Macaca mulatta: one gene and its partners. The protein of the gene in region 2 purifies or fractionates together with the protein of the main gene of each other region. This does not show direct contact. Links are inferred from orthologs where the notes say so. Each region holds a gene or a part of one and is shown on either strand. Other genes may lie near its edges.

What was found. Proteins that work in one complex are often made in the same cells at the same time.
Region 1: the proteins of IFT22 (region 2) and IFT57 purify together in Homo sapiens (affinity purification with mass spectrometry; 3 studies listed by BioGRID and IntAct, counting the BioPlex papers as one, with this or other methods). This does not show direct contact. The link is inferred for Macaca mulatta from reciprocal best matches to the Homo sapiens genes IFT22 and IFT57.
Region 3: the proteins of IFT22 (region 2) and IFT25 purify together in Homo sapiens (affinity purification with mass spectrometry; 3 studies listed by BioGRID and IntAct, with this or other methods). This does not show direct contact. The link is inferred for Macaca mulatta from reciprocal best matches to the Homo sapiens genes IFT22 and IFT25.

The regions. Positions count from the first base shown.
Region 1 is NC_133407.1:175,430,679-175,434,744, reverse strand, and holds the start of IFT57 (intraflagellar transport protein 57 homolog), read right to left. Parts: upstream 2,801-4,066; 5' UTR 2,718-2,800; coding exon 2,506-2,717; intron 1-2,505. UniProt on the Homo sapiens protein: Required for the formation of cilia. Plays an indirect role in sonic hedgehog signaling, cilia being required for all activity of the hedgehog pathway.
Region 2 is NC_133408.1:48,589,774-48,594,861, forward strand, and holds the start of IFT22 (intraflagellar transport protein 22 homolog), read right to left. Parts: upstream 3,294-5,088; 5' UTR 3,197-3,293; coding exon 3,158-3,196; intron 879-3,157; coding exon 802-878; intron 73-801; coding exon 1-72. UniProt on the Homo sapiens protein: Small GTPase-like component of the intraflagellar transport (IFT) complex B.
Region 3 is NC_133406.1:186,671,223-186,675,484, reverse strand, and holds the start of IFT25 (intraflagellar transport protein 25 homolog), read right to left. Parts: upstream 2,801-4,262; 5' UTR 2,784-2,800; coding exon 2,686-2,783; intron 1-2,685. UniProt on the Homo sapiens protein: Component of the IFT complex B required for sonic hedgehog/SHH signaling.

The sequences.
Region 1 (4,066 bases), on a different chromosome or scaffold from region 2:
AATAACTAATAGGGCCGAATTCACAACTGTCCAACAATCTTTCTTCCCCCCAATGGCCATCAAATCAAAAGGCCTCGATAATTCACCCTTTCAAGTTTCCAGTAATCCACAGCACTCACATTAAATTTTTAAATCATCAGGATTAGCGCAATTACTACTGTACCCAAAATATGAGATCAAAGACCTTACACCCGGGAAATGTAGTGCCTGTTAGAGCACAGAGCATGTAGAGTTTTTGTCAAAATGATTTAAGTGTCAGTAATAATATATTAGTACCTTATTAACGAAAATGGTAATCTGGAAGGACCTCAGAGTTTAAAAGAGATCTCAAAAGATTACTCATTATGCATTTTTACTCTTTCTAACCTATCACCTATGGTAAACATTTGTTTTTATCTTGGCTGCATATTCAATCACCTGAGGAGCTAATAAAAATACTGGTACTTGGCCAAACATTGCTTCTTCCCTCATGAATGAATTAAATCAGAACTTCAGTGAGTGTAGGCCCAGTATGGGGTATATTTCAAAAGCTTTCTACATGTTTATAAGGTGTAGTCAGGATTAAGAAACTGTGAATGTCACATCACCAATCTAAAAAACATCTGTGGGCTCTTGCTTAATCCCCTGGTCTGCTAAACACAGTTCTATGAGGATCAGTATGATTTATACCTAAACATTATAGGAATAAAACTCACTAGCAACAACATTCAAGTCAGTTTAATCAAAGATCTTATTTTTCTTGTTCATGTGTAGCTATCATTATTATGTTTGCAATGTATTTACAACAATTATAATCATTGTCATAAAAATCAGTCGTGTACTCCTTCATGTTTCCCAAACTTTATCCTGCAGGATAAGTGTAAACGTTCTGGAAGATAACAGAAAGCTGGGAAGAAAAAAGGCCATGAAGTCCTTCCAGGTATATGCTAACTATCCTTTCAAAGCATCCACCCACCAAAAAGTCATCTTTTCCTTATTGGCAGATAACTCCTCTAGAGCACAGGAATGAACACCAATAGATACTGTAAACCTAGGACAGTGGTTCTCAAATATTAGTGTCCATCAGAATCATCTGGAAGACTTACTGAAACAGACCACTAGTCCCCATCCTTATAATTACTGAAAAGGTAGATAGACCTGGGAAAGGGCCTGAGGCATTTCAGTTCTAGTAAGTGCCCAGGTGATGCTGATGCTGTTGGTCTGGTGATCACACTTTGAGAACCATTAGACTAGGATATTCCCACACAAATCCATGATTCAAAGTGTCCTGCTGAACCCCTGAAGACACAGAGATGACATCAACAGAACCTTAAGGTCATTTTCTTTTCATTTGAAAAATACACTTGGAAAAAAATGCATTTTTATTAATACAGGAAATGTTGGTTGTCTATACTATCCTGATCGATTCACTTTAATAATCCCAGGACTACCTTTTCTAACATGGATCAAGCAACACTACTTTTTTCCTTTATCTTTTCTCCGACTATGGACTAATTTAATATGAACAGTTTACATAAAGCCTACATATCTTTCAATTCAATTTATTGTAAGAGAGCAGTGGAATGAGATTAAAACTATCAAGGGAAATTATTTGAGCCTGGCTGTAGACATTAAGTACTATAGATTCTTACTATTGATTGCCTTTTATGGAATAAAATAAACGTAAGTATTAAAGTGAAAGAAAAGCTATAAAACTGATTTACCTGGCTACTGCTAAGCTACAGTGATTTGAGGAGAAGGTCCTAGCCGACCACTACCCTCAGCAAGTAATGGCACTGCGTTCAGGATATGTTGGACTTCTCCCCCACCGGAACAAGGGTAGAACTTTAGGTTCTATGATAGGAGACAATTCAATAGTTGTCATTCGTCTTTTCCACTTTTCAGTTTCTGAGAGTATGGTTATTGCAAAGGCAGAAGTCTTTTAAACCATAGCAAGTAGTTAACAAGTTTACTAGCCGCATTTAAAGCGCTCCTTAACAGGGTCGTAAGTACCCACGGTCCCCAGTTGTATAAACAGGGTCTTAAACAACAACAACAAAAAAACCCCAAACTAGAAAAAAAGCCTTAAGTGATAATGGCATTCCTCTCTGGAGACGAGATTTTGGGCGGTTTTATAATTTTTCTAGACATTTTCTTGTGTTTTTCTGAGTTTTCTACAATGAGTATTTGTTTTATCTTTACAATCATAAAATACAGTTTGTGTTTTGTGGTAATGCGTGTGTGTTAAAAAACAACAACAACAACAAAAAAAAACAGGCAAGCTGTCTTCCAATCCTTTCTGCCGTTCCAAAACTTATTTATTCTCTCTACAAAAACAGCAAGTCAGGGCTGCGTGAGCTCCACGGACCTCCCCGGAGTTTGGAGTGAAGTGCCCTTCTCTGGCTAGGCAGACGGAGGCAAGGAATTGCTAACCCGCTCTCACGGAATTGGTTCCCAGCAGGACCAAGGAGGGCATCTCCCTGGAGGCTAGCAGGCACCCAGGCGCTTGGGGACACGGGCACCCACCTGGACGGGGCCTTCAGGTTGCTCTTCCGGAGGAACTCCTCCTCGTAGCGGAGCAGCTTCAGCTTCTCCACCAAGTCCTCCATCACCACGAACATGTGGTAGGCCGCGCCGGGCCCCCGCTCCACGACCACTTCCCCGGTCCCTTCGCCACGGGACCTAGGCACCCCATCTTCCAAACCCGACGTCGTGACGACGGCCAGGGCAGCAGTCATCGCAGGACGGACAGAGTGCAGCGTGGGCTCAGGCCCACAGACCTCTGCGGCCTAAGCCGCCAGCCCTGCAGCAGCCAGTACAGCCACGACCGGTTACCAGGCGACCACCGGACAACCCGTCACCAGGGAAACTAGACTCCGCCTCCTTCCCTCCAATCAGGGCGGCTTTCCTGAATGACGTCGCCCGTGGCCCGCCTCTTGCCCTGCCTCCGCGGAAATGGTGGTCGGGAAGCAGCACCGCCCCTCATGGAGGCGTGGTGTTCGCGCCCCACCCCCCGCTGCCTCTCCTCCCTCGGCTTCTGGAAGACTGAGGAGAGGCGGCTAGTGACTCTGAGCTGGCTTGAGGTGTGTTGGACCTGGTGGTTGCTAAAGGCAACTAAGCGGGCATCTGGGTCAGCTAGTAGCTGTTAAAAAGATTAAAGGGAGGTGAAGACGTGCAGTATTGAAGGCTGCACTGGCCCACTGATACCTTTATTTTCTCAGAATTGAGAAGCTGTTCATAGTTGTAAAGATAGTCAATACCATAGGTTTCACTTTTACTGCAGGAACTTTCCAACAAGAGGTTTCTCTCGTTCTTTCTTTTTTTAATTTTATCTTTCTCTCACTAGGCAATGCTGCACATAACAGTATACTGTAAAGCTTGAAGTACTGTATTGCATTGCCTGGCTATTACTCCAGTGCTAGGAAAGTGGTTGGAAGGATGAGGAAGAAGACAACGAACAAAAGGAGGCATTTGGGAGGCTTTGTTTTACTTCAAAAACAAGAATACTAAGCTTCCAGCCTGCTGCTTAATCTGTTTCAAACCCATAACATGTAGTATAAAGTTTTTGGGTACTTCGTTAAATCCAGCAGAATAGAGATGGTCTTAAAAGGAATTTCCCTGCCCTAAAGCTCTAAGTGTGGCTAAAGATAGGGTGTTACTACTGTATTCTGCAGTTATTGACCTAGAAAATTCAAGAAAAGGTACATAACTGACCACAGAAATGGCCCAGCTTTACAGTTTTCAAAAGGATTGTGTATCGGGCAATTTTCTTAACAGTTGCAAAAAATGAGGTAAGTGGTGGATGCCTGGCAGTTTTTTGGAAGAAAACTTAATACAAGAGATTGAACATATATGTTCGTGTTTATAACGTGACTTTCAAGGGCTCACTGATCTCTTTCTTGTGTCTGCCACTACAAAGTATAGAAGGGCCACATTTTTGGATAACTGAAATTTGAAATGTATCTACAATATCCTGTTTTTGTTAGAAAAATGAGAACACACTTTTCATTTTAATCCGTCTACAGCTAACTTGTTTCTGATACTAATAAGGTTATCAAAGTGAAAAGTCAGTAGGGCAAATACCATT
Region 2 (5,088 bases):
TCCCATAGCTCGAATTCACAGCCTGTGCCTTTGTTGTTGCTGGTAACGTGCGGGTTCTCAAATTCCAGGATCCTAAAAGGAAAAAGAAGAGCAGTAGGCTGGGTGCGGTGGCTCATGCCTGTAATCTCAGCACTCTGAGAGGCTGAGGCAGGCAGATCACTTGAGGTTAGGAGTTCGAGACCAGCCTGGACAACATGGTGAAACCCTCGCTATGCTAAAAATAAAAGAATTAGCCGGGCATGATGGTGGGCACCTGTAATCCCAGCTATTGGGGAGGCTGAGGCAGGAGAATCGCTTGAACCTGGGAGGTGGAGGTTGCAGTGAGCCGAGATTGTGCCACTGCACTCCAGCCTGGGAGACAGGACGAAGAAGAAGAGCAGCAGTAGCACCAATAATGAAGCTGCATTACACTTTTGGAATGCCAACAGCAACAAAAGTAGGAGGTGGGTGATGGCTGGGCAGTCTTTTTAGATTGTTTTATTATTAAATTTTTTTTTTGAGACAGGGTCTCACTCTGTCACCCAGGCTGGAGTGCAGTGGCACGATCATAGCTCACTGCAGCCTCCAACTCCTGGCCTTAAGCAATCCTGCTGCTTCAGCCTACTGTGTAGCTGAGACTACAGACACATGCCAACTTACCTGGCTAATGTTTTATTTTTAGTTGAGATGGGGTCTCCCTATATTGCCCAGGGCTCAGGCGATCCTCCCACTTTGACCTCCGAGAGCGCTGGGATTAGAGGCATGAGCCTCCCTGCCCAGCCAGTTGGGCACTCTTGTGGACACAGATTTGTCAGGGCTCACCTCACTCCTTGGGTTGGGCTGTATTCAGTGATGTCAGAAGATTCTGTCAGAAAGTTGGCCAAAACAGTTTTTCCACTCTGTGAAAATGAGTGCAAATAAAGGTCTTTGTTGAAAGGCAGAAAAGGAAACCGAAAAAATCACCCCAAGAGGTGGCCTGGAAGCTGGTGCGGTGCAGTATAGGTCATTGGCACCCTGAGATCACTGGGGTGGTTATGACCACACTGTCTTGCTCTAGTGCAGTGGGCACAGCCTGGTCTGGGGCCCAGGGAGCATGGGATTAAGTTCTTTTTTTTTTTGAGACAGAGTTTCACTCTTGTTGCCCAGGCTGTGATCTGGGCTCACTGAAACCCCCAGGTTCAAATGATTCTCCTGCCTCAGCCTCCCAAGTATTTGGGATTACAGGCGCCCACCACCACACCCAGCTAACTTTTGTATTTATTAGTTGGGCTGGTCTCGAACTCCTGATCTCAGGTGATCCACCCGCCTGGGCCTCCCAGAGTGCTGGGTTTACAGGGATGAGAAACTGCGCCTGGCCAAGGAGTTCTTTTAGGTCACAGAGAGGATCAAAGTCAGCCTGGGGACTCATGGCTAGCTGTCTTATAATCTCACATGGAGCAGTCTGTCCATCTGGATTATATGAGTAATACACATTGCTTTTTTTTTTTTTTTTTTTTTGAGACAAGGTATTGCTCTGTTGCCCAGGCTGGAGTGCAGCAACATGATCACAGCTCACTGCAGCCTTGATCTGTAGGGCTCCAGTGATCCTCTCGCCTCAGCCTCCTGAGTAGCTGGGACTACAGATGTGCACCACCATGCCCAGCTAATTTTTGTATTGTTTGTAGAGATGGGGTTTCCCTATGTTGCCCAGGCTGGTCTCGCATGCCTGGGCTCAAGTGATCTCCCCACCTCAGCCTCCCAAAGTGCTGGCAGGTGTTAGCCACTGCGCCTGGCCTAAGACTTCTATCAGTTTTATTTATTTTTTTAGATGTAGTTTCGCTCTTGTTGCCCAGGCTGGAGTGCAATGGCGCGATCTTGGCTTACTGCAACCCCGCCTCCGGATTCAAGTGATTCTCCTGCCTCAGACTCACGAGTAGCTGGGATTACAGGCATGCGCCACCATGCCCAGCTAATTTTTGTATTTTTAGTACAGATGGGGTTTCACCATGTTAGTCAGGCTGGTCTCGAACTCCTGACCTCAGGTGATCCACCTGTTTGGCCTCCCAAAGTGCTGGGATTACAGGCGTGAGCCACCGTGCCTGGCCAGTTTTTTGTTTTTGGTTTTGTTTTGTTTTGTTTTTTAACGCATTTAGCTTTAGTTCATCTGAGCTTTATTTCTGTGGATGATGTGAAGTTTACATGTAGATGTGATCTGATCCCCACTACCACACCCCCAACAAACACATTAATAGCCAGTGGTTCCAGGACCATATAGTAAAACGCCCAGGCCTCGAGCAGTGACTCACACCTGTAATCCCAGAACTTTGAGAGGCTGAGGCAGGAGGCCTTTTGAGCCCAAGAGTTGGAGACCAGCCTAGGTGCTAAGCAACATAGCAAGATCTTGTCTCTACAAATAATTAACAAATTAAGGCCAGGCGTGGTGGCTCATTCCTTTAATCCCAGCACTTTGGGAGGCCGAGGCGGGCGGATCACTTGAGGTCAGGTGTTAGAGACCAGCCTGGCCAACAAGGTGAAAACGCATCTCTACAAAAAATACAAAACTTAGCCAGGGGTGATGGTGTGGGCCTGTAATCTCAGCTACTCAGGAGGCTGAGGCAGGAGAATCGCTTGAAACCGGGAGGCGGAGTTTGCAGTGAGCCAAGATCATGCCACTGCACTCCAGCCTGGGTGACAGGGCGAGACTAGTCGGGCGTGGTGGTGCACGCCTGTAGTCCCAGGTACTCAGGAGGCTGAGGCAGGAGGACTACTTGAGCCCAGGGAAGTCGAGGTTGCAGTGAGCTATGATCACACCACTGCCCTCCAGCCTGGACGACAGGGCGAGAACCTGTCTCAAACAAAAGTCCAGACCCACAGACGCATTCATCAGGTGGATCCCGGAGGCAAGAGAAAGAGTCACGAAATCTAGGCTGTGGTTCCAGTGACGCCACTCAGTACCTTGGGCCTTCGGGGCTCATTAACACCGGGCTCGCCTCCACTACCTCCTCCGGGCAGTCGTTGGAATCAAGGTCTGAAAGCACGGAGTTCGCGGAAAGGGCAGGGGCGCCAGCCGGGATGGGCGCGGTGGGCCCGGGTTCCCGCCTCCTGGAGCAAGCCACAGACCAGACGGGTGGGGACCTGCGCTCGCTCAGGCCCCGAGGCCTGCTCCCCGCTCCCTCTGCCGCGCCGGGCTGGGACTCACCTCGCAAGGCCCCACGAAGAGGATCTTGGCCTTCAGCATCGTTGTCCGCCGCGGCGTAGCAGGCCGGAGCCCACCGTAGCCGGCGCGTTAGGGCAGAGAGCTCCCGGGCCGCTTTCGTTTCCATGGCGACGGCGAGCGCCCCGCAGGGGCCGACGGGACTCGGCCACTTCCGGCGCGCGCGGCGGAAAGTGGGCGCGTCTGTGACTGGGTGGGGGTTGGAGAGAAGTCACAAAGCCCGGGCTGCAGACGCGGTTCTGCAGGGTTGGCCTCTATTTCTTTTAGAGACAGGGTTTCACTCTGTCGCTCAGGCTGGAGGGCGGTGGCGCGATCTCGGCTCACTGTAGCCTCCAACTTCTGGGCCCAAACGATCCTTCTGCCTCAGCCTCCCGAGTAGCTGGCGCTACAGGCACACGCCATCACGTCCGACTAATTTTTAAAATTTTTGTATTTGTAAGACCGGGTTTTGCTATGTTGCCCAGGCTGTTTTCGAACTCCTGGGCTGAAACGATCCTCCCACCTCCACCTCACCAAAATTCTGGGACTGCAAGCCCGTTCCATCAGTCTCGGTAGAGACGCGGAAAGCAAGACTCCAGGAGGGGGCGGAATGGCCGTTTCCAAATTGTTGTTTCTCCCAATAATCTCGAGAGCTCAGACAGGCCATACAAGTGCCAAGCTGGCCTTGGAACTAGGCCTTGACTCCTTTATCACTGTGGCATGATATCACTGTGGCTGTCCACTTGGGAGCCGATTTATCATAGCTGTGACCCAGCTTAAAAAAGCTCAGGTGAAAGTCTGGTTTCTGTAAAAGGATTCACCACTCACTATCATTCGTCTGACCTAGGTGAAACCAAAGAGATGATGGCTGGAATCCTTTAGTCAGTGCAGGTGTCTAGAAACATTGCTGCTAAATTCAGTCAGGTCAGTCTGAAAATACAGAGTCAAGTCAGAATTTCGGATAAGGCCATGATATTAAATGTCTCTGTGCGGAGAGTGCCGGTGCAAAATATTCTGGCCCACAAAGGGCTGACAAGACAAAAATTCCTCGTCAACCCACTATCAAATCTTTAACCTTCGGTAACATAGTTACATAGTCTTTGTATTGAAAAGAACTGCTTGGCCAACCTCCGTGGCCCAGGCCTGTAATCCCAGCACTTTGGGAGGCCGAGGCTGGTGGATCGCTTGAGGTCTGGAGTTCGAGACCAGCCTGGCCAACATGGTGAAAACTGTCTCTACTAAAAATACAAAAATTAGCCGGGTGTGGTGGCACGCACCTGTAATGCCAGCTACTCAGGAGGCTGAGGCAGGAGAATCACTTGAACCAGGGAGGCAGAGGTTGCAGTGAGCCAAGATGGCATCACCATACTCCAGCTTGGGTGACAGAGCAAGACTCTGTCTCAAAATAAATAAATAAAAATAAATAACTGCTGAGTGAACAGTAAGGAAGAGTTCTTAATTTCAGCATGTCATTGTTGATGGATTAAATTAATATCTTTTTTTCTTTTCTTTTTTTTTTTTTGAGACAGGGTCTTGCTGTGTTGCCCAGGCTGGAGTGCAGTGGTGTGATCTCAGTTCACTGCAACCTCCGCCTTCTGGTTTCAAGTGTTACTCCTGCCTCAGCCTCCCGAGTAGCTGAGATTACAGGTGCACGCTACCATGCCTGGCTAATTTTTGTATTTTTAGTAGAGACGGGGTTTTGCCATGTTGGCCAGGCTAGTCTCAAACTACTGACCTCATGATCTGCTTGCCTCGGCTTCCCAAAGTGCTGGGATTACAGACATGAGCCACTGTGCCCAGCCAGTCCTCATTTTATTTTATTTATTTTTTATTTATTTATTTTTTTTGAGACGGAGTCTCACGCTGTTGCCCAGGCTGGAGTGCAGTGGCGCGATCTCGGCTCACTGCAAGCTCCGCCTCCCGGGTTCCCGCCATTC
Region 3 (4,262 bases), on a different chromosome or scaffold from region 2:
TTTTGGTATTTTTAGTAGAGACAGAGTTTTACCAAGTTGGCTAGGCTGGTCTTGAATTTCTGACCTCAACTAATCTGCCTGCCTCAGCCTCCTGAAGTGCTGGGATTACAGACATGAGCCACCGCACCTGGCCAGAAATTAACTTTTAGTGTCTACAATATACAGTCTAATTATATTTTCTAGAACTGCATATGCATTAAAAGTCCCCTATGTACTCTGTTCAGTTATCAGGAGAGTAACTACATTATTCCTTATGTTTTCCTGTACTAAGAGTTTTTGTCTAATCTAAAAAATATTATGTCCTTATTTATCAAAATGGACAGAGCCTAAAATATTAACTGCAATATATGATAGCTAATCCTAACATTCTATAAACATATAAAACAGACTCGCTTGAGAGAAAGATCACCAAAGTATTGCAAGGTAAATTGATCTTGCCTTGGAAAACTAATCTATCTCCAATCAAAATCAAGGAGTGTTTCTGGAAAGTCCTCTATTTCTGGCAAACAACTTAAGGCAAATCTCCACAGTTCTGTGTATTCTTAAAGCAATTCCCATATTAATTTTTCTACTCCAAGTCAGAGTAGGATAGTAACTATTACCTGAATTTCAGGAAGTAAACAACTAAGAAAAAGAAAGAAGAGACACAGGCAAAAAGCAGATATTAAATTTTTGATTCAAACTAAGTTTGAGTTAACCCAGTGTAGCACAAAGATCCCTGAGTACAAGTTAGAAGACATGAGTGTTAGCTGATTCTGCCTCTTGCTTATCTGTGTAATTTTGAGCAAGTCATTTTTATTTTGAGCAAGTCATCTGATCATTCTTTTCTTCATCTTTACGAAGGAGTTGAAAATACTTTTTTGTGCTTCTTATTCCCCAAGATTACTGTAAGGGTCAACTGACAAAGTATCTATGAAATTATAAAGCCCTATGCAAATGTAGAGTAATATGTGCATATATATGTGTTTATATGTATGCGTGTGTGTGTAGATGTTGATTACTTTCCAATATTAGTCAAGTTTGACTCATAGAAAAAGTCTCTGACTTCTAGGAATTCACAGTTGAGAGAGGAAACAACCATTAAAAATAAACAATACAATAAAGGAAAAAGTAAGGTAACAGAGGTATATACCAACTGTTATTGGACCCCAGCAAAGAGCTAAAGGAATCTGAGGGGAAAAGTCAGTTGTCATAAAGATTACAACTAGGCTTCAAGGAAGAGGCTGAGTTGCTAGAATTTCATCCAGATACATGGGCTTCAAGATACATAAAGTATCATGAAACCTCTGTTACAACTGGTTCTGCCTTCAATAATTAAAAGTAGTACTTAACCTCCTTAGACCTCTCTCACCACAAGTCTGAAATAAAGGGTTTTGGCAAAATAAACCCACAAGTCCTTCCAGGCCTAAAATTAGATGGTTCTATGAGTCAAACTCTGGTCACTGTACATATACCAAGAAAGAGGGTTCAAGAAAGTAATAAGCCAGAAGTATTAAAAAAGGAGTTCTCCACCAGGCACGGTGGCTCACGCCTGTAATCCCAACACTTTGGGAGGCCAAGGTGGGCAAATCACCTGAGGTCGGGAGTTCAAGACCAGCCTGACCAACATGGAGAAACCCCATCTCTACTAAAAATACAAAATTAGCCAGGCGTGGTGGTGCATGCCTGTAATCCTAGCTACTCGGGAGGCTGAGGCAGGAGAATCACTTGAACTCGGGAGGTGGAGGTTTTGGTGAGCCGAGATTGTGCTATCGCACTCCAGCCTGGGCAACAAGAGCAAAACTCCGTCTCAAAATAAAAAGGAGTTCTCAGGTGGGCTCAGTAGCTCATGCCTGTAATCCCAGCACTTTGGGAGGCTGAGGTGGGTGGATCACAAGGTCAGGAGTTTGAGACCAGCTTAGCCAATATAGTGAAACCCCGTCTCGACTAAAAAATACAAAAATTAGCCCAGTGTGGTGGCGTACTCCTGTAGTCCCAGCTACTCAAGAGGCTGAGGCAGGAGAATCACTTGAACCCGGGAGGTGGAGGTTGCAGTGAGCCAAGATGGCGCCACTGGACTCTGGCCTGGGTGACAGAGTGAGACTCTGTCTTAAAAAAAAAAAAAAGAAAAAAAGGAGTTCTCCCATTAACTGCTTTTTCTTGGAATCAGAAGTCTAAGAACAATATTTAGAAAAATATCCACCTAGAAAAAGCTGTAGCACAATGAAGAGTAGAAATTGGAAGGATATCAACAAGGGGAGAGGCAAAACAATACGTGATAGCACGGAATGAAGCATTCAGTTCTGCAAAGATATCACTTAGACCAGTAAGGAAATAGGTAGTATATAGGAAGTTATAATATTTACATTCTTATTCCAAGAAAAACTTGGAGTAAAACCAAAACCAGACCTTAAAATTTACACTTCCATAAAATGAAGTTGTTTGAGTTTTTGCCTTGGTAAACCACTTCTAAAAAAACCTATTTGTATGAAGAGTTCAGTTTAGGCATTATAAAGAAAAGGATCAAAAACCTAAATATACACAACTGAATTAGTTTCAGAAATGGTACCAAAAGTGGATATCAGATAATTCACCAAACATTTATTAAACTATGTTTAATAGGGCAAGTTGTTATAAAACACAGTCCAAGTACTCAAGGGATTCACTGATTTAAGACTGTAAACAACAAACTATAGTAACTCTTACCCATCAATGATATTTTCAGGTGGGTGTTTTTCATCACTTGATGTAGCTAAAATCACTTCGGACCCTTCAGAGCTCAGACAGAGATCAATTTTTCTCATCTTAAAATGTTTAACCTGCAAATCAAAAAATAACAAAAAAAGCAACTTCTTGATTCTCTAAACTTTATCTGAGAAAACCAAGTGAGAAGGAAAGGCTGTTGCCTAGCAGATGGTTTAACAGCCAAGCTATTCAACATGTGGGAGGGACTCTAACATGTTTGTTTATATAAGAAACCTCTCCCAGGGATAATCTATATGACATGACTATTTCTGCCACTCTGCTTCACAAAATAAGTCCCTGACTACCCTAGCCAAACAAAAAAACAAAAACACAGAGGTACAGGAAGAAGGTCAACAGAGGAGAACAACATGGAATACCATAAAAATACTCAATTAGGCCGGGTGCGGTGGCTCATGCCTGTAATCCCAGCACTTTGGGAGGCCAAAAAATTTTTTTTTTTTTCTGTAGAGATGGGGTCTTGCTATGCTGCACAGGCTAGTCTTTGTTTTGAGACGGAGTCTCACTCTTGTTGCCCAAGCTGGAGTGCAATGGCACGATCTTGGCTCAATGCAACCTCTGCCTCCCGGTTTCAAGCGATTCTCCTGCCTCAGCTCCTGAGTAGCTGGGATTACAGGCACCCGCCACCACGCCAGGTTAATTTTTGTATTTTTAGTAGAGACGGGGTTTCACCATGTCGGCCTGACTGGTCTCAAACTCCTGACCTCGTAATCCGCCCACCTCAGCCTCCCAAAGTGCTGGGATTACAGGCGTGAGCCAGCACACCCAGCTTGCTCAGGTTAGTCTTAAAACTCCTGGCCTCAAGTGATCCTCCTGCCTCAGCGTTTCAAAGTGCTGGTATTAAAGGCATGCGCCACTGTGCCCGGCCAGTATCAGTATTTTATAAAAATGCATTTATTCTTAGTTTTTATTTATTAGAATACAGTTCACTTTCTATTATATTTTAAAAATTAGTATCGATAGTATTAAAAGTGTGGTAACATTGGTAAGAAAACACATATATTTTAATTTTTTGTGCCTCTTTTCTCTATCAATCTTACCACAGCTTTTGACACTATTGATACCAGAAAAACAGTCAGTGTGGGATGAATTGTCAAGCCTTAGTTTTAAGAGGAGAAAGATGATGAATTCTGTAAATACAGATTGATAAACTTGAATGCTAATTCTCAACAAAACCCTAAAATTATTAAAATTCATTATTAAAATGGTAGCCTTGAAAATGTAACCAAGGAAGTACTAAAATTGGAAGTAGCAGTAACATTAGTTTACAAGCTAAACCAAACCTATACATTTCTGTTTGTCTGATGGAATTCCTACCCATTTGGAACATGTTCTAAACATTTCGACAAAGCTTCAGACAAAGCTTCTCAAGATACCCTGTGAACCCGACAGAGAAATATGAATTGGGTGACAGCCAGTACTCTAGGTAGATATTTCTAACTCTGAGTGGCTATACTCAAAGAATGATGATTAATGGAAGAAAATGAACTTGTGGAGAACTTCTATCCTTATCCTACTCA